Linked DNA regions of Pelodiscus sinensis. The protein of the gene in region 3 interacts with the protein of the main gene of each other region in a pairwise test. Links are inferred from orthologs where the notes say so. Each region holds a gene or a part of one and is shown on either strand. Other genes may lie near its edges. The genes, in order: heat shock transcription factor, Y-linked-like; C25H1orf94; TBX6.

Region 1 (7,538 bases), on a different chromosome or scaffold from region 3:
GTTTCTTCCCTCATTCTTTAGGCAGTTTTCACTAAATTCCTGTTCTAATGAGAAAGCAACTGGTGGTGTATTTTTGATGCCAACTCTTCTTTTACATCTTACAAGGAGGTGGGGATAGCCTCTCTTAAAATTCGGGTTATGGTAGAACTGTAACTAAATAAAGCAAGGGAAAAGATTTAATCACCTCTATGAGAATAAAAAAAAGTCAAGTGCACATTCTGGCTAAGATTTTTGCCTACATAAAGCAAACATTAATATTGAACGGACACTGGCAAACAATTTTGGCCCCAATTTTAAGCTGCAAAAAAGATATGATGAAACAGAGGTATTTTCATTACATTTTAAATCAGTGAAAATTCTTTGAATTTAAACATTCTCCTGCAGCATTGTGTTTAACCTCAGGAAATGGACCTGAATAGCTTACTTTCACTGTAGAAGCCAAATTAAGTGCAAAAAGCAAACATGGCAGAAATGGTGAAAGGTAAATTTGAAATTTAAAAGGTGTTAGAAATACAGACAGGTAATATTTTAATGGATTATATCTCTTAAGTGGGTCTAGTATCGAAACTAAAGTTTAAACAAAAAGGATGGATATTATCCGACAGTAGGAGACTTTCTAAAGCATGTAAAAGATTTAGGTCCAGAAGTACAAGTCCCCTTGACTTTTAGTAATTTAGATAAAAGGCCATAAATGTTCAAATAGTAACACATGGCTCATATCCATCTTCCTAGCATTCAGCAAATGCCAGTGGGAAAAGAAAGCAATGCAAACCTAGTACCAGAAGTACACCAGTAACCAGAAGAGAGAAAGAGAAGGGGGCTGAGAGGATTTCTGTTTCACTGGCTCAGGCGAGCAGGGAAAAACCCACACTGAAATAGTCACTTCTGGGCAAAAAACTAGTATTCACATTTTTTTACTCATTCATGAGAATACTTTGAGAACTATGGATGTCAGAATAGCCTTCAAAACCCTCATTCCTAGATTCTCTTCATGAGCATAAAACTTTTGTGCATGCAAAAAACCCTCATTAAATGTATTTCAGAATAGGCATCTTTTAAGCTTTGAGAAACTATACTGGCATTTTACCTTGCTAAAAGCAGATGCTGCTTTTTCTTCTGCTAGAAATTCAGCTAGTGAGGCAGACCTTTGAAAATCTTGCCGCATTTTGCTAAAGCCATAGAGATTAAGCTGACGGATGAAACTTTTCATGCAATCAGTTTCAAAAATTCGCAGAGGGCCTCTCCTTTCTAGCACCTCCTTTTTAAAGAGCTCTTCATCAATCACTACACAATTTCCATCATCATCCCACCAAAGTGACTTAAATTGATCACTTTCAACAATTTTCCATAGTTTCTTTGGAAAGGTGAGGGATAAAAAATCATTGTCTTCAGTGGAATTATCCTCACAGAGAGTAAGACGTGGTCTTTTTACCCATGGTCCATCACTCAGAGCTTGAAAAGCATTTTCTTCTATTATAGACCTCAAGGCAGAGTCACCAGCTGCTGTTTTATCACACAATGGAATAGCAGAAGAAATTGAGGTAGCAGAATCAACCATTTCATCCTGAGCTGAAACATGTAATGTTTCTGCTATAGGAAGGTCCATCTCCAATCCTTTATCGCTTTGACCTTTTTCAGTTGTAGCCATTTATGCTATTAGTTGAGCTTCATGCTCCTAGACAGTGGTATATTAAAATGATGCTAGCTTAAAGTGAAACTTCAGTAGAGAGTTCTAGAACATCATAATGATACTTGTGGTGTGTGGCTGTGACATCATAAAACAACTGGTTTCCTAGCAAATTGAGGTAATAATGGCCAGACAAGTCACTAAAGTGAAAAGCATTTAAATATCATTTACGAGAGATTAGATCTAATCTATAAAAGCTTTGTCTCATGATGTAAATAAGGCATATACTAACTGGACATAGAGCACCGTACCATCCATTCCTCCCTCTCCCCACAGCAGTCATTCCACAACAGAGCTGAGGGAAGCTTGTACTGCTGCGGTTGTTGGGAATAAAGGAAGAAATTTATTTGCCTAGTCTTTCCACTGAGCCTCTTTCACTAGTGAAGAATTCCCCACACTGTGTTCTTGCCATCAGACCCTGGCTGTATGAAAAAAAAAATAGGAGTACAAGTATTTAAATTACATACACTGTATATAAAAATAAGAATTTACAATTCCATTTAGCAGCTGCAAAGGAGACTGTTCCCTCTGGTCTCTTGCAGAACCCTCTTTCTGCTCCAAAGACTGGGGAAGGAGGTACTGGTAAAAGGCAGAAGGAAAGAATCTGAAAAAAAGTCACCACAGGTTGATCATCACTGCCCATCTTCTATGTGATAGTAACATTACAGAGCAAACCAAGTCACCTGCCAGCACTTGTCACAGGGATAAGAGAGAGAAAGAAGGGGAGAAAGGAGATTGTCTATTAGATGTTGACTTCCTATTGGTTCTCCCTTCCAGTGAGAATGTGGGAATTCAACCTACGCGTTTTTTCGGCTGCTCTTTTCCAGTAGGGTAGCCCAGTGGACAAATGGAAGGCCTTTTACTCCCTGGGCCTCTCAAGGAGGTCGAGCAGAGCATGTTCTCAAGTCCAAGTGGACAATGATGGTGGGATATAAATGCATTATTAGGAGGCTACCTCTAAACCCCAATTTTGCTGCAGTAGATGAGGAACAGTGTGGCCTATAATGAACTATCTTCCACCACTGAATGCCCATTACCGGGGAGACTGGGGATGGATGGGGGGAGAAACGGGTAGATGGAAGAATAAAGGCAATGCAGTAGGGAGCACTTGCCTCACTAGTATTACAGTTGTCAGAACAAATATATTCCCTACTTCTGGCATAACTAACTGTGGCTAGTGGTTATAGTGAAGAGATGAGTTTCCACATTCCTGTCATTCCTGTATCAACCATTTTTTGAAAAACAGTACTGATGGATATCAGAGTGTATACTTATCACTGAGTTGTAAGAGCAAACACAAGCATCTCTTTGCCAAAGAGAACAAACTACTGTAACATGAATTTCAGATTAATCTCACTAACCTACAAGCATCCTCAGTAGAGGTTTGGGAAAGAAAAAAAAACCCACCCGTCACCCCCCAAAATTCATGACAATGTCAAAGTAAACAGAAACTTTTCTAGAGAATTTACTAATTTAAAATGGCACAGCTCCTTGTAAAGGGTTTAATAATTTGGACTGACCTGTGTTTCACAAAAGATAGGGTAGTTTATGCAACAGTACAGTCTTGGTATTTATGTCAGCTGTAAAATTGATGACAATCTACAAAATCTGAGCAATTAAAACAAAGTATAGATTTTCCACATAATATAGGAAAAAATAGTTTATTAAACAGCTGAAGGGGCTAATAACTAATAATGTGTTGCTTAATGGTAAAATATGACTACAGAACTTGAAGACGCAACACAGTTAACATCTACCCCCCCACCCACAAGTCAGTGCAACGGTTGTGATTATTTACACAATAATTTACATTGAGTCAAAATCATGTAAGCTGTTATACATTCTATATAAAACAAAAGCCTTCAAGTCTTGCCAGAGAAGTGCAATGCTCCTGTGCCTCTGTAGTTAAAGATAGTGTTCATGTCTGAATAGGAAATGACAGGTAAAGACATGCCAACGCATATATCTAAACAACATACAGCAAGAGAGGCCAAATATATACTTAAGACTTGAAAGACATCCTCTGTAATAGTCTATGCATTTCATACAAGTTTTTAAAAAAATACCTTTACATAATATTTATACTGTACAGAACTAGAATTTGAACAGAATATATTACATTGCTACAATGTTCGTATAAATACTATACAGCCAGGCACATAACCAATCCACTAGGAAGGTTCACCGATTAGACAACCACCTATCTTCAGGGACAAAAGATCATAACACTAGGAACACAATACTTAAAATGCTTAAATGAGGTGTAGAAAAATCTGAATTTGAGTTACCAGAGGTCATGTTACAGAATATTAAAAGTTTTCAATGCCCCATGCACTACAATTGATATACTGGATTAATTTCTCTGGTAATGACTTTATAGGTATATTTAAAAAAAAAAGATTAACTAGTGTTCCCATTTGGATTCACTACCATGAGATTAAGTAAATATGGAAAGCTCCAAAAGAAATCATTTAAAAATCTCCAATGTAATACATTATAAGCCACTAACTGACAAATACCTATCCTTAAAAGAAATTAGAACATTTTTTGAGATGAAATACATTTGGTTGTTTATTCCTAGTTCCAGTTTTGTTGTCAGTTGTCCATCTTCTAAATTCGTTTTAATCTGGCACATCAATGCTTAGCTTGGGAGGTGGAATAACGTACTTTCCAGGACTTTGTGTAATGACCACTCCAGTCTTTTTTCGGAACATTGGTGCAATTTTGGGAGGTTCTGGAACAGGTGTTTCTTCCATTTCTTCATTATCTTCGTGATGAAGATCATAGGAAATATTTCCATATTCTCTCAAGAATGGGAAAATTTCAAGTAGAAATTGACAGAAATCTTTGCGAATTCCAAACCACCCTGGACAAATCCAAATTAATAGTTTCAGTTTTAATCAAGAAGGAAATTACACTTTAAAACCAAGTACTCATTTCATTTTTATACTAAAATCTTTTATATAAATATTGTTTATAAATAGTTAGACACTAACACATGGTGCTAGTGACTCAGTAGATAGTACCCTTCCATTAATTAATCCCACAGCATGGCATACAGAAGTATTTTACCTGCTACAGGCAAATCTTTCACATAAAACAAAGCCAACGTCCTGACTACTTGCAATTAAAGATTCCATGATATCCTTGTCAAACAGATATTAAGATTGGTGACCGGTTGCCATATTTCACCTAGATAAGTTCCAACTGAAATGAATTTAAGTACATTTGTTTGTTAAGCACATGGGGTCCATTTGGAATGACCGGGGTTATGTTACCTAACTCATACTCATAAAATAAAAGTTATACAACACACTACTAGATCTACAGCATATAGCCTTAAACACTAAGCTAATGTTGTCATCAGCTACACTGCAAATGCACTGTGGTCACAGCTACAGGTGAAGACTGACTTGTGCCCTGTAATGTTCCACCACTCTACTCTTCCAAGCACAAAGTTGAGGAGGCAATTTAGGCTCTAGACTTAAAAAACAAACAAAAAACCCCACACAGGTTTAAAAAGTTATATACAGTAAACTTCCGATAATCCGGCACCTTTGGGACCCAGGGGGTGCTGGATTATTAGATATGCCGGACTATCGGAAGGGAGGGCTATGAGGGGTCTGGGGTGAGGGGGGGGTACCACTCCAGACCCCTCATAGCCCCCCCTTCCGATAGTCCGGCTCTGCCCCAGGCGTCCCTGATTCAGCCACTGCTGAAACTGACCAGCAGCGGCTGAATCGGAGACGCCTGGGGCAGAGCAGCTGGAGTGCTGCCGGGTTGGTCGGGGTAACGCCGACCCTTGGCGCAGCGAGACCAACCAGGCAGCACCCCAACTGCTCTTGGGGACGCCTGGGGCAGAGCAGCTGGGGTGCTGCTGGGTTGGTCCCGCAGCGCCGCTCCTCGGCGCTACTGGATCAACCCGGTAGCACCCCAGCTGCTCTGCCTCAGGCGTCCCCCCAAGTCAGACGTTGCTGATACTGATCAGCAGCTGACTCAAGGAAGCCCCCGCTGGTCAGTTTCAGCAGCAGATGACTTGGGGATGCCTGGGGCAGAGCAGCTGGAGTGCTGCTGGGTTGATCCAGTAGCGCCGAGGAGCGGCGCTGCGGGACCAACCCAGCAGCACCCCAGCTGCTCTGCCCCAGGCGTCCCCAAGTCAGACGCTGCTGAAATTGACCAAGAGCTGACTCCAGGAAGCCTGAGGCAGAGCAGCTCTACCTCAGGCTTCCTGGAATCAGCTGCTGGTCAATTTCAGCAGCGGCTGAATCAGGACGCCTGGGGTGCTGCCGGGTTGGTCCCGCAGCCCCCAGGGGCAGCGCTAGGGGACCTACCCGGCAGCGCCCCAGCTGCTCTGCCTCCGGCTTCCCCGATTCAGCCGCTGGTCAGTTTTAGCAGCGGCTGAATAGGGGAAGCTGGGGGCAGAGCAGCTCCAATGGTCCGGCTGCGGAGCACTTCCGGGTTCCTGATGGTGCCGGATCATCAGGAGTGCCGGACCGTCAGATGCCGGACCAATGGAGTTTTACTGTAACTAGCAGAAACACAGTTAGAAGTCTGATGTTAAAGTAAACATATCAGACAAAAATCTTAGGTCTGGGGAAGAAACCTATGCTGGAGATGCTTTGATGAAACAAGTAGCTACAGACACTGAGAATATACTAGCTGAAAAGAAATTAGTCAATACTTTCATGATCAAGTCTTCACAAGGCCCTTTTTAATACATATTGGTAAAGAATATGAAGCTAAGATATTCCTTATTATAGGGCTAAATCCATTAAATATTTTCACACCACCATTATTTATATACCAACTCCTCCAAATCAATACAAGAACTCATATAGCAGCTGAATATGAAAAAATTACTTATGATCTAAGAACAAGTTTAAAAAAAGTCAGTGTATGTTGTGATTACAGAGACATAAAACAAGACAATTCAGTTTACAATAATAAATAATATAAACTCTTTCAACTATAAAAGGATCCCAAACGGTTTTTATAATATTTACACACATTGCATCGTTAAATAAAGCTACCCTTGGAGTGGAAGTCACAACTAACTGCACATTGCTATTCTGTGTTCTGGTTGAAGGAGAAAAAATATTGGCTAAGGACATCAGGACAAGCCCATCCGCTTACAATACATGCTATAGGATCTTCAGCATACATAACAGGAGGGGGGAAAAACCCTACCCTCTACACAATAAAAAATAAACCATATGAAACACAATTTACTGTGGAAGGATTAAGGACTGAACTAATTCTGTTGGACTTTGACATTGTGATTCCAAGAAGCTAAGGGGTCAAAATCAAACTTAGATGGATTACAGAAAGACACTCACAACAAGGGATACATACACAGCCTGTGACTCATAAGGAAAAACTGTCATAAGCTGCAAAGCTTCTTCTGACTATGCCCACTGTGTTAATCTCCACCTATCTAGTTCAGAGGTGGGCAATAATTTTTAATGGGGGGGCCACTCCAAGATTTTATCGAGTGGTCAAGGGCTGCATTTCTACCAAGGCGGTCTGGAGTCTGGGACAGAGGTTAGGTGCAGAAGGGAGGTTGGGGTAGGAGACTGAGTGCAGGAGGGGGTGTGGAGTCTGAGGGGGAGTTTGAGTGAAGGAAGGGACTGTGATCTTGGGCAGAGGCTTGGGGTGCAGAGTCCAGGAGGGAGTATGGGTGCAGGAGAGGATTCTGGACTGAGGGAGGGACCCTAAGAGGTGGTGCAGGGTCTGAAGGGAGTTGTGACCTGGGGGATGAGGTGCAGAGGGTTTGGGTGATGACTTAGGGCAGGGGAAGGGGATGCAGAGTCAGGGAGGGGGTATGGGTGCCAGAGGCTTCTGGCCTAGGGAA
Region 2 (7,349 bases), on a different chromosome or scaffold from region 3:
AAGCCAGGAAGGTGAAACTGTGGCTTCAAAAGATTCCAGAGGCATTGAAAATGAACCTCGCAGTGATTTGCATAAGTCAATATTTTAAAATAATTAAAAGCTTGCGAAATCAAGCAAGGTCACTGCGAGTCGTCTTGGCCCCGTGTGTTGTTGCAGATGACGAATCAGGTGATTCGTGTGCCTTTGCGGGCTGTCAGCATAGATGGTCAGGGGTTTACAAAATCTCTTCCCAGCGACTGGATTGCCTGAGAGTTGTATAAGGACACTGATACCTCCAGGATCTGTGTCCAAACTGTGGTCTGGGTTTGCACCTGCTCAGCCTCCCAGTTGAGAAGCAGTGGTGACTCCAAAGAGGTTTATTCATGTGAGGAGAGCAAAGCAGGTCTTGGCATTTGGTCAACAGGAGCCAAAACCTACCTGAAGGCAGTTCAGTTATTACTTGTACATGCACCAAGATCAAGACCCCGTATGATACAGGGCAAGAGACAGCTCCTACCCTCAGCAGACAAAACCAACACCTGGAGGGTATGGGAGAAGACTTTTGCCCACAGCCCACCCCTCAGCTCAGTGGTAGAAGTGTCAGTAGAACCCAGCTCTCCTGAGTCCTAAGCTTAGTGTGCCCTGTCCACTGGACCCCACGGCCTCTCTCATTGCATGGGAAATGAGTTTGATGGGTCTCAGTCCAGTTTCTGTGGGTTCAGGCGTCCCCATCACAGCTCTGGTGCTCTTGTGGACAGTTTCACCGAACAAGACAAAGGGGCGAGAGAAGAGGATGATCTCCCCAATTATGATAGTTTCAGGGCAGTTACATGGCCCAGTGGCAAGGAATTATGCTAGGTTGGCTGCCCTTGAAGAACCCACTAAATTCAATGCTAACAAAACCAAAAAAACCCCACCCCACTCCATGGAGCTTTACGGGTCTGCGTCACTAAGGGTGTGTCTAGACTACAGGGTTTTTTCGACAAAGGTGGACTTTTGTCGACAAAACTATACCTGCGTCTACACTACCGCCGAGTTCTGTTGACAGTAAGTCGACAGACGCAGCAGTTTTGCTGACGGCAGTAAACCTCATTCTACAAGGAGTAACGCCTTTTGTTGACAGGGTTCTGTGGACAAAAGGCGCTATTGCATCCACGCTGTGCTTTTTCAAAAGAGAGCGTCGGGACTCTCTGTTGAAAAAGCGGCTTGCTTTGTCGACAGAGCTGGCTGTAGTCCAGACACTCTTTGTCGAAAGAGGCTTTGTCGATAGTATCTGTCGACAAAGCCTGTAGTCTAGACGTACCCTAACATAGGGGAGGAATTAAAGTTCAGATTGTTAGTAGTAGTTTGATGCTGTTCCACGCTGGCTGTGGTGCTTCCCTTCTCCCCATAACATTTGAGCCCCTCTCATGAGTGCATGAACAGATGTGATGAACATCTGGTTCATAAAGACACTTGGGCCTGCATTCTCCTTTCAGTTACTCCAGCTATGCACCAGGAGTTACTTTGGTGGAGTTACTCCCGGTTTACGCAGTCACAAGAGGATAAACGAGCCTCAAGAGTCTTCCTTCAAGATTTAAGTACATTTAGCCCTGGTCTACACTAGGACTTTATTTCAAAATAACCCCTCCAAAGTCAAATTTATAAGCAGAGCATCCACACTACCAAGCTCGTTATTTCGGAATAACGGGCTGCAGAATTCAAAATCTGGACTCCTGCTTTTCATCAGGAGTAATGCTAATTCCAAAATAGTTTTTTCAAAATAATGGTAGTGTGGACGCATCAGTGTTGGTATTTCGAAATAACTACTCCGCAGAGTAATTCAAACTAATTACTCCCCATTGCTTCTTGGGGCTCTAAGTCCAAGGTAGCACGTCCACATTAATGAAACCTGCCTTGCGCTAATTTTGAGGCTTTTCCATAGTGTGGCCATGCTAGTTCAATTTTGTTAAATTGAGAGTTAAATCAAATTAATTAATTTCAAAATAGTTGCCTACTGTAGACATGGCCTTAGTGAGGATGGGACACTGGGTTTGAGTCCTGGATGCCTGGGTTCTATTCCTGGGCTGTGTGGCCTTTGTTAATTTCCTTTCCTTCAGTCTCGCTTTCAAGGGGAAATTATACTAATTCACCTTTTATAAAGCACTTTGAGCTTCTAACGTTACTTATTTACTGTATCTCAGCAGGCTGGGCCCTGTCTGTGAAACTGTGAATGGTGTTATTGCATTTTTACTTTCAGACTAGGACAGTTGCCAACCTTTGTTAATTAATTGCTGGGTTTACAAATTTGACTCCCTCACCCCCAGTCCCGCTTCAGGAGACTACTATAAATACGTCCCTCTTAAATTTGAAAACTGTGCTTCCTCCCCTCCCTTCCTTCTCTGCCAAATTGAGCTCTCCTTTGTAAAGATCAGCTGTTTATAGTATAACATTTTAATTTTCTGCTTTGCTTTTTGAAAGCATCTTTTGCTTCTTACTGTAAATATTTTGATTTAAAAAAAACTGCTGTGGGGAAACTGAATGCGGCAGCTGCTTACTGTGCTTGGGAATTACAGATGTGGCGAGGCATCACGGGGCGTTTTGCATAGGAAAATGAATGTGTGGAGGGAAAGGAAATAATTTTGCCCTCTGGCTTGATGCTGTGAAAATAAACACAGTGTTTCATCTCAACTAGTTTGAGAGATTTCCTACTCTGGTTGTACATAGAGTCCCAAAGCTACTGTAGGGCAGAAAGGGTGTTGGAAAGTGAATGTTTCCACATGGAGTTGATCAGTGATCTTCTTTCTGACATAGTTGGAGAACACTCACTCTTTCAGGTAGCGGCTGCCCTCTCCTCTGAGGAGGTCTGATGGCAAGACTGGGTGACAGGGAGGCTGCAGGACTGGTGACGTTGACTGGAGCTCTTCAGGCAGACCTTGTACCCGTTTCCAGATCTCGTGGCAGGCTTTGTCCAGGCTGTCCTGAGGGGTGTTGTGGTGGATCCAGATGTGCCTGGGGAAAGGTCCTAAAGGAAAGGGGCTTTTGGAGCTGATTGTCGGACCCGGGAGCTCACTCCCGCCTGTGAGCATCTTTCAGTCTTTTCCCACCCAGGCACCAAAAGACAACTTTTTGAAAGGGGCGTTGTGGGTACAGAATGGAATGAAAAGCAACAAGCCATGGTAACTTGGTAACCATAGAATCCCTGGGTCCTGGCAACTGGTACGAAGGACAACAACCGGAAACAGTGGTAGGGATTCCAGCAGCACTGAAAGGAAGATGGGGAAGAGGGAGCCATGTGTGAGATCCTCCAAGTAAGGCAGAGGGCAGCCTCTAGGACCGGTGTCCATGGGGTCGCCACCCTGCCCCAACTCCATATATTCTCAGGTCCACGTATTAACTCCACCCTCCTCTTTCCTTCCTCTGTTCTTTGTATTTAATGTATCCTGTGACAATGAGAGGGTTACACCCACGTTGTCTCCACTGAAAAAGGAGGTGAGTTCTCCTCTGCTCCGAGTCCTTTCTCTTATCTCATATCAGGTCCCCTCCTGATCCTTCTCACAGAAATAAACTGAAGCAGAGACCGCAGGATTTACTCTGGTGTGGGTCTGAGAGCCAGGGGCTCTGGCTGTCTTGTCTGGTTTACTTCTGTGTCTCTAAACTAAGAAGCATGAGCATAGCTAGCTAAGTCTCCATTTGTTCTGCAGATGGGCTCAAGGAACCAACTTTCAGAACTTGCCAAAGTTTGGAGGGGGGTCTAGATTGAGGATTTTGTTCAGGACACTATTTTGTTCTTAATGGTCCCTCTGAAGCATTGGACATCGGCTGCTGATGCAGGATACTGGACTAGGTAGCATGCTCTGGTACAACACGTACACCTCCGTCTTTTGCCAGCCCCGCCTTGGGAATGCCACCCAGTACAGTTATTTCTGTACTGCAGTTTGGAGCACCTGGATCCTGACAGAAGAACGGATTCTTAATAGTGACACAGCTCATGAAGAATCGTATTGCTTCTGCAGAAGAGGGCCATGAGCTTTTTCAGCGGAAGCTCCCAAGTCCTGTTCTGGCTGATATTTAAGGCCAGGAGGTGAGAGAATTATGAAACTATGTTGAACCTGAGGACAGGCTTATCAGCGACAGTTAAACCACATTTCTGTTGGGGAGGGCTGTGGAATGTGAATGAGAAGAAGGCAGCCAGCCCAGACTTCAGATGCACTGGTTATACCTGCAGAAATTCATTTGGCTGCTATGGTTCCATGTGCACCATGTGTCTGTGCAAAACAAAAGAACACGGGCAGGTAAAAGTGAAATTTTTACATGTACAAGAGCCTTTGCCCATCTGCAGGGGCAACACTTGTGCATAGATTTTTTTGTTTTGTTACTGCAGCTGTTGCACCTTTCTCTGAAATCTTAGCTCTGTGCATCTCCCGTTAGCTTAGAGTAAAAAGTGGACTTGTCTATCATGCATCTAAAAAGTCACGGTGACAGTAGTCTGTATAATCAGAGAGATTATTCTATGTACAAGCCTCTTGGCTAATACTGCATGGACATCTAATTGCTGCTCTTTTCACCCACAGCAGCTGTGGTTGGTCAACAAAGTAGATGTTGGGATTTATTTTATTCATCCTAAGTCTGTTCATATCCCTAGGGAGACTTGTTGATTGTGCTGCTTTTTGTTTGGGAAAAACACTCTTAAGATTCACCAGCCCAGATGAATTAAGACTCCTAACCACCTCTGACTATGTATGGAATGTCATTTAGTAGTTAAAGGGAGACTTAATGTCAGAATTCCTATGTGATGTTCTCAGATTTGGCACTAATCCCCTTTGTGCCCCGGGCAAGTTCTTTCTCCTTCCTGTCTCTCTGTTTCCCAATCTGTAAAATGGAGTTCATGCTTCTTACTACCAGGAAATCACTGTGAGAACTAACTAAGCCAGCAGCAGGCAAATACCAGCACGTGAGCCGGATCCAGTTTGCCAGGGTTAGCCCCTGGTGGGCTGCCGCTACTGTATTTACCTGCATCTCTGCAGGTATGGGTGCTTGCAGTTCCTATTGGCCGCGGATCGCCATTCCTGGCCAATGGGAGCTGCAGGAAGTGGTGTCCCAGATGGTGCTACTTCCTGCAGCATCCCATAGATGAGCTGCAAGCACCCATATCTATGGTGGCACAGGTAAATATAGCAGCAGCAGCCTGCCAGTGGCTAACCCTGATGAACTGCTGCCATCTTATTGCCCACACCTGGACTAAGGCCAGTTCTATGCTATGGACTTATATTGGTATAACTACATTGCTCAGGGGTATGAAAAAGCCATACCACTAAGCGATGTAGTTATACCCTCTAACACCCAGTGTAGATAGGGTCATGTCTCCCATCGACATAGCTACCACCTCTCAGGCCATGTCCACACTAGGAAATTCTTTCGAAATTACTAAATTTGACTTAAGAACTGCCGATTAAACAACGTTGACCTTGCGTATCCTCACTACAGGAAAGCATCAAAATTAGTCCGAGGCAGGCTCCATGAATATGGACGTACTACCTCGGACTCAGAGCCCAGGAAGTACTCTGGGGAGCTGTGGGAGGCCTCCCAGAGGCAAGTAAGTTCAAATTAGCGGCACTGAAGTGTCTACACTAATGTTATTTCGGACGTACAAGTTTGGGAATAGCATTATTCCTCATGAAAAGCAGGAGTACAGAGTTCAAATTCCATGGCCCCGTATTCCAGAATAACAGCCTTGGTAGTGTGGAAGCATTGCTTACTTATTTGAATGGGGGACGGGTCTGGGGATTTTGGACTAAGGTCCTAGTGTAGACCAGAGCTCGGGGAGGTGGATTAACTACCATGCTGGCAGAAGCTCTTCTGCTGGTATAGTAGCATCTTCATTAATGGGCTACAGCGTTTCAGCTTCATCACTGCATGTGAAGACAAGACCTAATAGGTGTAAATCATGCCAAGTGACAGATGGCAGAACAAGGAGCAATGGTCTCAAGTTGTGGTGGAAGAGATCCAGGTTGGATATTAGGAAAAACTATTTCCCTAGGAGGGTGGTGAAGCACTGGAATGGGTTACCTAGGGAAGTAGTGGAGTCTCCATCCCTAGAGGTGTTTAAGTCTTGGCTTGACAAAGCCCTGGCCTGGTTGATTTACTTGGAGTTGGTCCTGCCTAGAGTAGGGGGCTGGACTTGATGACCTTCTGAGGTCTCTTCCAGTTCTATGGTTCTATGTTTCTATGACCCTTGGCTCCCAGACATTCAGAAATATTATGTTTGATTGTGTTCTTTGGGGGTGGAAGGCTTGCAGTGATTTATATTGCTTTGGCTCTGGTCGGGGAAATGATAGATAGGATATAATACAGGCTGAACCTCTCTAGTCCGGCACTCTCTGGTCTGGCAACATCCATGGTCCGGCATGACTTTAGTTAGCCGGCACTTGTCATTAGGGATGTGAAAGTTTAACCAGTGAACCGGTCAGCATCACCTTAAATTGGTGGCACTAACTGGTTCCGATTAACTGGTAACGAATGCGGGCTGGAGCAGCCCACCATGAACAGAGGCTGCTCTCGTCCAGAGCAGCCTCTGTCTACAGGGAGCCCGGGTGCCCCAAAGGTAGGGGCTGTTCTGATGGGAGCTGAGAACTGGGGGCCAGTGGCGGGGAAGGGGCTGAGGACTGGCAGCAGTCAGCCCCAGGGTGGGATTGGGGGTTGGGAATCCTGTGGGCTGGGCACTGCTCCAGCTCAGATCCCGCTTCAGTCAGTTAACGGGTTAAACGTTAGGTTAACCCAACATTTAAGCAGTTAACTGATTAATCAGGATTTTATATCCCTGCTTATCATGGGTATGGTCAAGTTTCCTGCCATAAAGTTTGTTTACAGCCACCAGTCCTGGCTCTTGGTGTTCTGTGCTGTGATTTAGCTCCAATTTATCCCTAACAGTCTTCTAAGAGCCCAGGCAGCAGGGGAAGTGTTGGTAAAGCTGCTAGATACTATTGACCCCCCTCCCCCCTCCCCCCTCCAGTTGGGCAAATTCTCTGGTTCAGCAGTTGTCAGGTCCCCAGGGTGCCGGACGAGAGAGGTTTAATCCGTAGGTGTCAGAATCTGGCCAGTTCTGAGCCTGAGCTTTGACTGTGGGTGGCAGTGTAGATCAAACATTCCTGGCTGCTGTTGGCTGCTTAGAAAGGCAAAAATCCCCTGTCCAGCTTAGTGTGGAGGTAATCAGGCAAGTTGATCAGTGGCTAGTGGAGGTTAACAGCAGCCTGCACTAGAACAGACACACATGCACTTTCAAAGAACCCTGCAAGTTTCTGCCAACTTGGCTGTCCTAGGCAGGCCTGTCCCCAGAGCTGGGCACACCTGGTAAAAGAGAGGGAGACCTTTCAACTCAGCGTGCTGCCAGG
Region 3 (7,858 bases):
CCTCTTTTCTAAACTGAAAAGTCCCAGTCGCTTTAACCTCTCCTCATATGGGACCCGTTCCAAACCCCTAATCATTTTAGTTGCCCTTTTCTGAACCCTTTCCAAGGCCAAAATATCTTTTTTGAGGTGAGGAGACCACATCTGTACACAGTATTCAAGATGTGGGTGTACCATAGTTTTATACAGGGGCAGTAAGAGATTCTGGGTCTTATTTTCTATCCCTTTCCTAATAATTCCTAGCATCCTATTTGCCTTTTTGACCGCCGCTGCACACTGTGTGGAAGTTTTCAGAGAACTGTCCACGATAACTCCAAGATCTCTTTCCTGATTTGTCGTAGCCAAATTAGCCCCCATCAGACTGTACCTATAGTTGGGGTTATTTTTCCCGATGTGCATTACTTTACACTTATCCACATGAAATTTCATTTGCCATTTTGTTGCCCAATCACTCAGTTTGGTGAGATCTTCTTGGAGTCCCTCACAGTCTGCTTCTGTCTTGACTATCCTGAACAGTTTGGTATCATCTGCAAACTTTACTACCTCACTGCTTACCCCTTTCTCCAGATCATTTATGAATAAGTTGAACAGGATTGGTCCCAGGACTGACCCTTGGGGGACACCACTAGTTACCCCTCTCCAATCTGAAAATGTACCTTTTATTCCTACCCTTTGTTTCCTGTCTTTTAACCAGTTCTCAATCCAAGAAAGGACCTTCCCTCTTATCCCATGGCCATGGAATTTACACAAGAGCCTTTGGTGAGGGACCTTGTCAAAGGCTTTCTGAAAAGTACACTAAAGTACACTATATCTACTGGATCCCCGTTGTCCGCAGGTTTGTTAACCCCTTCAAAGAACTCTAATAGATTAGTAAGACAGGATTTCCCTTTACAGAAACCATGTTGACTTTTGTCCAACAAATTATGTTCTTCTACATGCCTCACAATTTTATTCTTTACTATTGTTTCAACTAATTTGCCCGGTACTGAAGTTAGACTTACCGGTCTGTAATTGCCAGGATCACCTCTAGAGCCCTTTTTAAATATTGGTGTCACATTGGCTACCTTCTAGTCATTAGGTACAGAAGCCGATTTAAAGGACAGGTTACAAACCACAGATAATAGCTCAGCAATTTCCCATTTGAGTTCTTTTAGAACCCTTGGATGAATGCCATCCGGTCCCGGAGATTTGTTAACATTAAGTTTTTCTATTTGTTCCAAAACCTCCTCTAATGACACTTCAATCCGGGACAGTTCCTCAGATTCATCACCCACAAAGGACGGTGCAGATATGGGAATCTCCCCAACGTCCTCAGCCGTGAAGACTGAAGCAAAGAAATCATTTAGTTTCTCCGCAATGGCTTTATCGTCCTTGATTGCTCCTTTTATAGCTCGATCATCTAGGGGACCCACAGGCTTTTTAGCAGGCTTCCTGCTTCTAATGTACTTAAAAAACATTTTGTTATTTCTTTTTGAGTTTTTGGCTGTTCCTCAAAATCTTTTTTTGCTTTTCTGATTAAATTTTTACACTTGATTTGACAGTGTTTCTGTTCCTTTCTATTTATCTCACTAGGATTGGACTTCCACTTCTTAAAAGATACCGTTTTGTCCCTCACTGCTTCTTTTACATGGCGGTTAAGCCACGGTGACTCTTTTTTAGGTCTCTTGCTATGTTTTTAAATTTGGGGTAGACATTTAAGTTGGGCCTCTATTATGGTGTCTTTAAAAAGTTTCCATGCAGCTTTCAGGGATTTGGCTCCAGTCACTGTGCCTTTTAATTTCTGTTTAACTAACCTCCTCATTTTTGCGTAATTCCCCTTTTTTAAATTAAATGCCAGGGTGCTGGACTGCTGAGGTGTTCTTCCACCACAGGAATGTTGGAGGCAGAGCCCTGGCCGTGAGAGAGTTCCTGGTCTGGCCTGGTGGCCCAGCAGGGGGCGTGGTGCGAGGGGGCAGGGCCCTGGCCGTGGGGTGCTCCTGGCCCGGCCCAGCAGGGGGCGCGGCGGGGAGGGGGCAGGGCCCTGGCCGTGGGGTGCTCCTGGCCTGGCCCAGCAGGGGGTGCGGCGGGGAGGGGGCAGGGCCCTGGCCGTGGGGTGCTCCTGGCCTGGCCCAGCAGGGGGCGCGGTGCGAGGGGGCAGGGCCCTGGCCGTGGGGTGCTCCTGGCCTGGCCCAGCAGGGGGCGCGGTGCGAGGGGGCAGGGCCCTGGCCGTGGGGTGCTCCTGGCCTGGCCCAGCAGGGGGCGCGGTGCGAGGGGGCAGGGCCCTGGCCGTGGGGTGCTCCTGGCCTGGCCCAGCAGGGGGCGCGGTGCGAGGGGGGCAGGGCCCTGGCCGTGGGGTGCTCCTGAGCTGGCCCAGCAGGGGGCGCGGTGGGGAGGGGACAGGGCCCTGGCCGTGGGGTGCTCCTGGCCTGGCCCAGCAGGGGCGCGGTGCGATGGGGGCAGGACCCTGGCCGTGGGGTGCTCCTGGCCTGGCCCAGCAGGGGGCGCGGTGCGAGGGGACAGGGCCCTGGCCGTGGGGTGCTCCTGGCCTGGCCCAGCAGGGGGCGCGGCGGGGAGGGGGCAGGGCTCTGGCCATGGGGTGCTCCTGAGCTGGCCCAGCAGGGGGCGCGGTGCGAGGGGGCAGGGCCCTGGCCGTGGGGTGCTCCTGAGCTGGCCCAGCAGGGGGCGCGGTGGGGAGGGGACAGGGCCCTGGCCGTGGGGTGCTCCTGGCCTGGCCCAGCAGGGGCGCGGTGCGATGGGGGCAGGACCCTGGCCGTGGGGTGCTCCTGGCCTGGCCCAGCAGGGGGCGCGGTGCGAGGGGACAGGGCCCTGGCCGTGGGGTGCTCCTGGCCTGGCCCAGCAGGGGGCGCGGCGGGGAGGGGGCAGGGCCCTGGCCATGGGGTGCTCCTGGCCTGGCCCAGCAGGGGGCGCGGCGGGGAGGGGGCAGGGCCCTGGCCGTGGGGTGCTCCTGAGCTGGCCCAGCAGGGGGTGCGGCGGGGAGGGGGCAGGGCCCTGGCCGTGGGGTGCTCCTGGCCTGGCCCAGCAGGGGGCGCGGCGGGGAGGGGGCAGGGCCCTGGCCGTGGGGTGCTCCTGGCCTGGCCCAGCAGGGGGCGCGGTGCGAGGGGGCAGGGCCCTGGCCATGGGGTGCTCCTGGCCTGGCCCAGCAGGGGGCGCGGTGCGAGGGGGCAGGGCCCTGGCCGTGGGGTGCTCCTGGCCTGGCCCAGCAGGGGGTGCGGCGGGGAGGGGGCAGGGCCCTGGCCGTGGGGTGCTCCTGGCCTGGCCCAGCAGGGGGCGCGGCGGGGAGGGGGCAGGGCCCTGGCCGTGGGGTGCTCCTGGCCTGGCCCAGCAGGGGGCGCGGTGCGAGGGGGCAGGGCCCTGGCCGTGGGGTGCTCCTGGCCTGGCCCAGCAGGGGGCGCGGTGCGAGGGGGCAGGGCCCTGGCCGTGGGGTGCTCCTGGCCTGGCCCAGCAGGGGGCGCGGTGCGAGGGGGCAGGGCCCTGGCCGTGGGGTGCTCCTGGCCTGGCCCAGCAGGGGGTGCGGCGGGGAGGGGGCAGGGCCCTGGCCGTGGGGTGCTCCTGGCCTGGCCCAGCAGGGGGCGCGGTGCGAGGGGGGCAGGGCCCTGGCCGTGGGGTGCTCCTGGCCTGGCCCAGCAGGGGGCGTGGTGCGAGGGGGCAGGGCCCTGGCCGTGGGGTGCTCCTGGCCCGGCCCAGCAGGGGGCGCGGCGGGGAGGGGGCAGGGCCCTGGCCGTGGGGTGCTCCTGGCCTGGCCCAGCAGGGGGGCGCGGTGCGAGGGGGGCAGGGCCCTGGCCGTGGGGTGCTCCTGGCCTGGCCCAGCAGGGGGCGCGGCGGGGAGGGGGCAGGGCCCTGGCCGTGGGGTGCTCCTGGCCTGGCCCAGCAGGGGGCGCGGTGCGAGGGGGCAGGGCCCTGGCCGTGGGGTGCTCCTGGCCTGGCCCAGCAGGGGGCGCGGTGCGAGGGGGCAGGGCCCTGGCCGTGGGGTGCTCCTGGCCTGGCCTGGCGTCCATGTCACTAACCCCACGTCCACTCCAGAGGCAGGAGCCAGACCCAAGGCCCAGGGCTGCTCTAACCCACCAGACCCCCCCCCCCCACACACAGAGCAAGAGCCTGAGAGAACCCAGGGGTCCTGGCTCCCAGCCCCCGCCCCACCCTTGCAGCTGTCTGGCACAGCTGTGAAAACAGCTGGCTGACAAATGATTCCTCCCTCCTTGTAAACCAGGCCAGGATCAATCAAGCCACTTTGGAGCCAAGGTGTTAATTGGGCAATTAGGTTACTTAAAACAGGGGAGCCCAGGGCTGGGCTGGCAGGGCCTGTGGGTCAGAAATGGGGAGCACTGGCGGGGCGGGGGCTGCGGGGCTCCAGAAGGCCTTGGGGGCAGGAGCTGTGGGGTGGAAGTGAGAGGCAGAGTAAGGCTGGGAGGTGCAACGGCTGTGGGGGGGCACCAGCAAGCTGGGGGTGGGAACAGGAGATGTCGGCAGGCTGGGGCAGGGGCTGCAGGGCGGGAGTGAGGGGTGTTGGCAGGCTGGGGGGGAAGGGGGTGGGGGGGCAGGGGCTGCAGGGCGGGAGTGAGGGGTGTTGGCAGGCTGGGGGGGAAGGGGGTGGGGGTGGGGGGCAGGGGCTGCAGGGCGGGAGTGAGGGGTGTTGGCAGGCTGAAGGGGAAGGGGGTGGGGGGCAGGGGCTGCAGGGTGGGAGTGAGGGGTGTTGGCAGGCTGGGGGGCAAGGGGGCAGGGGCTGCAGGGCGGGAGTGAGGGGTGTTGGCAGGCTGGGGGGGAAGGGGGTGGGGGGCAGGGGCTGCAGGGCGGGAGTGAGGGGTGTTGGCAGGCTGGGGGGGAAGGGGGTGGGGGTGGGGGGCAGGGGCTGCAGGGCGGGAGTGAGGGGTGTTGGCAGGCTGGGGGTGAGAGCAGGGGGCATTGGCAGGTTAGGGGGCAGCGGTTCGGGGTGGGAGTGGGGGCGTCAGCAGGCTGGGGGGGCAGGGCGCTTTGCCTTCTTGCTAGGCCGTTCCCTCCTCCCCCCGCGCCCCCAGCAGAGCCCCTCCCGCCCGCCCTGCCCCTCCTGCTGTCCAGGAGCCATTTGGGGACTCGCTTCAAAGTGCCGGGGCAGCCCATAAATAGGGGGCCAGACACCTCCGAGCCAGAGCAGAGCAGCCAGGAGAAGCCAGGCGTCCGGGTGTCCGGCCCCAGCTCTAACCACCAGGCTCCACTCCCCTCCCCGAGCCAGGAGAGAAGCCCTGCTGCCCAGCATGTACCCCGCGTCTGAGCTGTTCCCCCAGCTGGGGGGCTCCTACCCGCTGCGCCCCGCGCCCCACGGGGGGCTGCCGGCTGGCTTCCCGCCGGGGCCCGGGGCCCAGTACGAAGGGTTCCGCTACCCAGGTGAGCGGGCCAGGGCGGCTGGCTCTGGGGCGGGGGCATCCATGGGGGGGGGAGGAAGGGGCCCCAGTGGTGTGGGGGGTGGAAAGGGGGCCCATAGCATTGGGGCAGAGGTGGCAAGGGAGCTGGGGGCAGAGGAGGAAGGGGACGATGGACAAGCAGGAGCTCACTGGGGCTGGGGGGATCTGGAGAGGCCCTGCCGCCCCCCACCAGCGGAGCTCTTAGCACCAGATAGCGACCAACTGGTGGGGGGAGTGGCAGCAGGATGTGAGATTCCTGGAGCCTCAGAGTGTGACCCAAACCCCTCACCCTGCCCTCCCGGCCTGCCGGTGCCCCTCACTCCCCCCGCAGCCCCTGGGCCACCCCCAGCCTGCCAGTGCCCCTCACTCCCCCCCGCAGCCCCTGGGCCCCCCCCAGCCTGCCGGTGCCCCTCACTCCCCCCGCAGCCCCTGGGCCCCCCCCCAGCCTGCCAGTGCCCCTCACTCCCCCCCGCAGCCCCTGGGCCCCCCCCAGCCTGCCGGTGCCCCTCACTCCCCCCCGCAGCCCCTGGGCCCCCCCCAGCCTGCCGGTGCCCCTCACTCCCCCCCGCAGCCCCTGGGCCCCCCCCAGCCTGCCTGTGCCCCTCACTCCCCCCCGCAGCCCCTGGGCCCCCCCCAGCCTGCCGGTGCCCCTCACTCCCCCCCGCAGCCCCTGGGCCCCCCCAGCCTGCCAGTGCTCCTCACTCCCCCCCGCAGCCCCTGGGCCCCCCCCAGCCTGCCGGTGCCCCTCACTCCCCCCCGCAGCCCCTGGGCCCCCCCCCAGCCTGCCGGTGCCCCTCACTCCCCCCCGCAGCCCTTGGGCCCCCCCCCCCAGCCTGCCGGTGCCCCTCACTCCCCCCCGCAGCCCCTGGGCCCCCCCCAGCCTGCCGGTGCCCCTCACTCCCCCCCGCAGCCCCTGGGCCACCCCCAGCCTGCCGGTGCCCCTCACTCCCCCCGCAGCCCCTGGGCCCCCCCTAGCCTGCCGGTGCCCCTCACTCCCCCCCGCAGCCCCTGGGCCACCCCCAGCCTGCCGGTGCCCCTCACTCCCCCCCGCCACCCCTGGGCCACCCCAGCCTGCCGGTGCCCCTCACTCCCCCCCGCAGCCCCTGGGCCACCCCCAGGCTGCCGGTGCCCCTCACTCCCCCCCGCAGCCCCTGGGCCACTCCCAGCCTGCCGGTGCCCCTCACTCCCCCCCGCAGCCCCTGGGGCCACCCCCAGGCTGCCGGTGCCCCTCACTCCCCCCCGCAGCCCCTGGGCCACTCCCAGCCTGCCGGTGCCCCTCACTCCCCCCCGCAGCCCCTGGGCCACCCCCGGCCTGCCGGTGCCCCTCACTCCCCCCCGCAGCCCTGGGCCCCCCCGCGCCTGCCGTGCCCCTCACTCCCCCCGCAGCCCCTGGGCCACCCCCGGCCTGCCGGTGCCCCTCACTCCCCCCCGCAGCCCCAGGCCACCCCCGGCCTGCCGGTGCCCCTCACTCCCCCCCGCAGCCCCTGGGCCACTCCCAGCCTGCCGGTGCCCCTCACTCCCCCCCGCAGCCTCTGGGCCACCCCCCAGCCTGCCGGTGCCCCTCACTCCCCCCGCAGCCCCTACTGGCCTCACCCTGCTCCCACAGCCCTGCCGGTGCCCCTCACTCCCCCCTCCGCAGTCCCTGCGTCCTCCCGGCCTGCTAGTGCCTCTCACTCCTGCCCCACAGCCCCTGACCTGCCGGTGCCCCCCACTCCTGCCCCGCAGCCCGTACCGGCCACACCCTGCTCCCCCAGCCCTGCTGGTGCCCCTCACTCCTGGCCCCGCAGCCCCTGCCAGCCCAGCCCCACTGGTGCCCCCCACTCCCGTCCTGCAGACTCCATCTCTGATTGGTTTCTGCTCACCTAGATCTGGATGGTGTGCCAGCACCCAAGTTGGAGCCCTTCTGCCCTACATTGGACCGGGTTGGACGGCTTCTGCCTCCACCTCCTTCGGGCGCCCCGCTGGCCCTTCCTGCCCCACCCCTGCCCTATGCAGGTGGGCAGCAGCTGCCCCCGGCCGAGCCTCCCCGCCTGTCCTCCAGTGTGCGGCTGAGCCTGGAGAACCGGGAGCTGTGGAAGCGTTTCTCTGCCGTGGGCACTGAGATGATCATCACTAAATCAGGGCGGTAAGAGTGGGCTGTGGTGTGGGGAGGGCCTGGGGGGAGGGGCTGTGGTGAGTCTATGGGGGGGGTCTAAAGTGGGAGGGAGGGTCTGTGGCCGGGTTCCCTTGCGTGCCTGGTTGATGAGCAGAGGCCCCAGCCAGGTGCGTGTTTCTGCTGGTGGTGCACATCTAATCGCACCGTGGTGCACAGGGAACAATTTATTCCACACAGGGATGGAAAAGGGACATTTGTGTGTGGGGGGGGGCCTTGTCCCCATTGAACCCGAGCCCCTCAACCCTGTCTCCCCCCACAGGCGGATGTTCCCCCAGCTGAAGGTGTCGGTGACGGGGCTGGACCCCGAGGCGAAGTACCTGCTGCTGGTGGA

What was found.
Region 1: the proteins of TBX6 (region 3) and heat shock transcription factor, Y-linked-like interact in binary tests that used the Homo sapiens proteins (3 or more experiments, as listed by UniProt). The link is inferred for Pelodiscus sinensis from reciprocal best matches to the Homo sapiens genes TBX6 and HSFY1.
Region 2: the proteins of TBX6 (region 3) and C25H1orf94 interact in binary tests that used the Homo sapiens proteins (3 or more experiments, as listed by UniProt). The link is inferred for Pelodiscus sinensis from reciprocal best matches to the Homo sapiens genes TBX6 and C1orf94.

The regions. Positions count from the first base shown.
Region 1 is NC_134723.1:41,600,653-41,608,190, reverse strand, and holds the start of heat shock transcription factor, Y-linked-like, read right to left. Parts: upstream 3,055-7,538; 5' UTR 1,649-3,054; coding exon 1,088-1,648; intron 154-1,087; coding exon 1-153. Other genes in the region: TMEM185A (transmembrane protein 185A), read right to left, coding at 4,309-4,553.
Region 2 is NC_134735.1:5,911,908-5,919,256, reverse strand, and holds the start of C25H1orf94 (uncharacterized protein C1orf94 homolog), read right to left. Parts: upstream 3,100-7,349; 5' UTR 3,048-3,099; coding exon 2,788-3,047; intron 1-2,787.
Region 3 is NW_027465967.1:62,711-70,568, reverse strand, and holds the start of TBX6 (T-box transcription factor TBX6), read left to right. Parts: upstream 1-4,832; 5' UTR 4,833-5,225; coding exon 5,226-5,355; intron 5,356-7,238; coding exon 7,239-7,497; intron 7,498-7,786; coding exon 7,787-7,858. UniProt on the Homo sapiens protein: T-box transcription factor that plays an essential role in the determination of the fate of axial stem cells: neural vs mesodermal. Acts in part by down-regulating, a specific enhancer (N1) of SOX2, to inhibit neural development.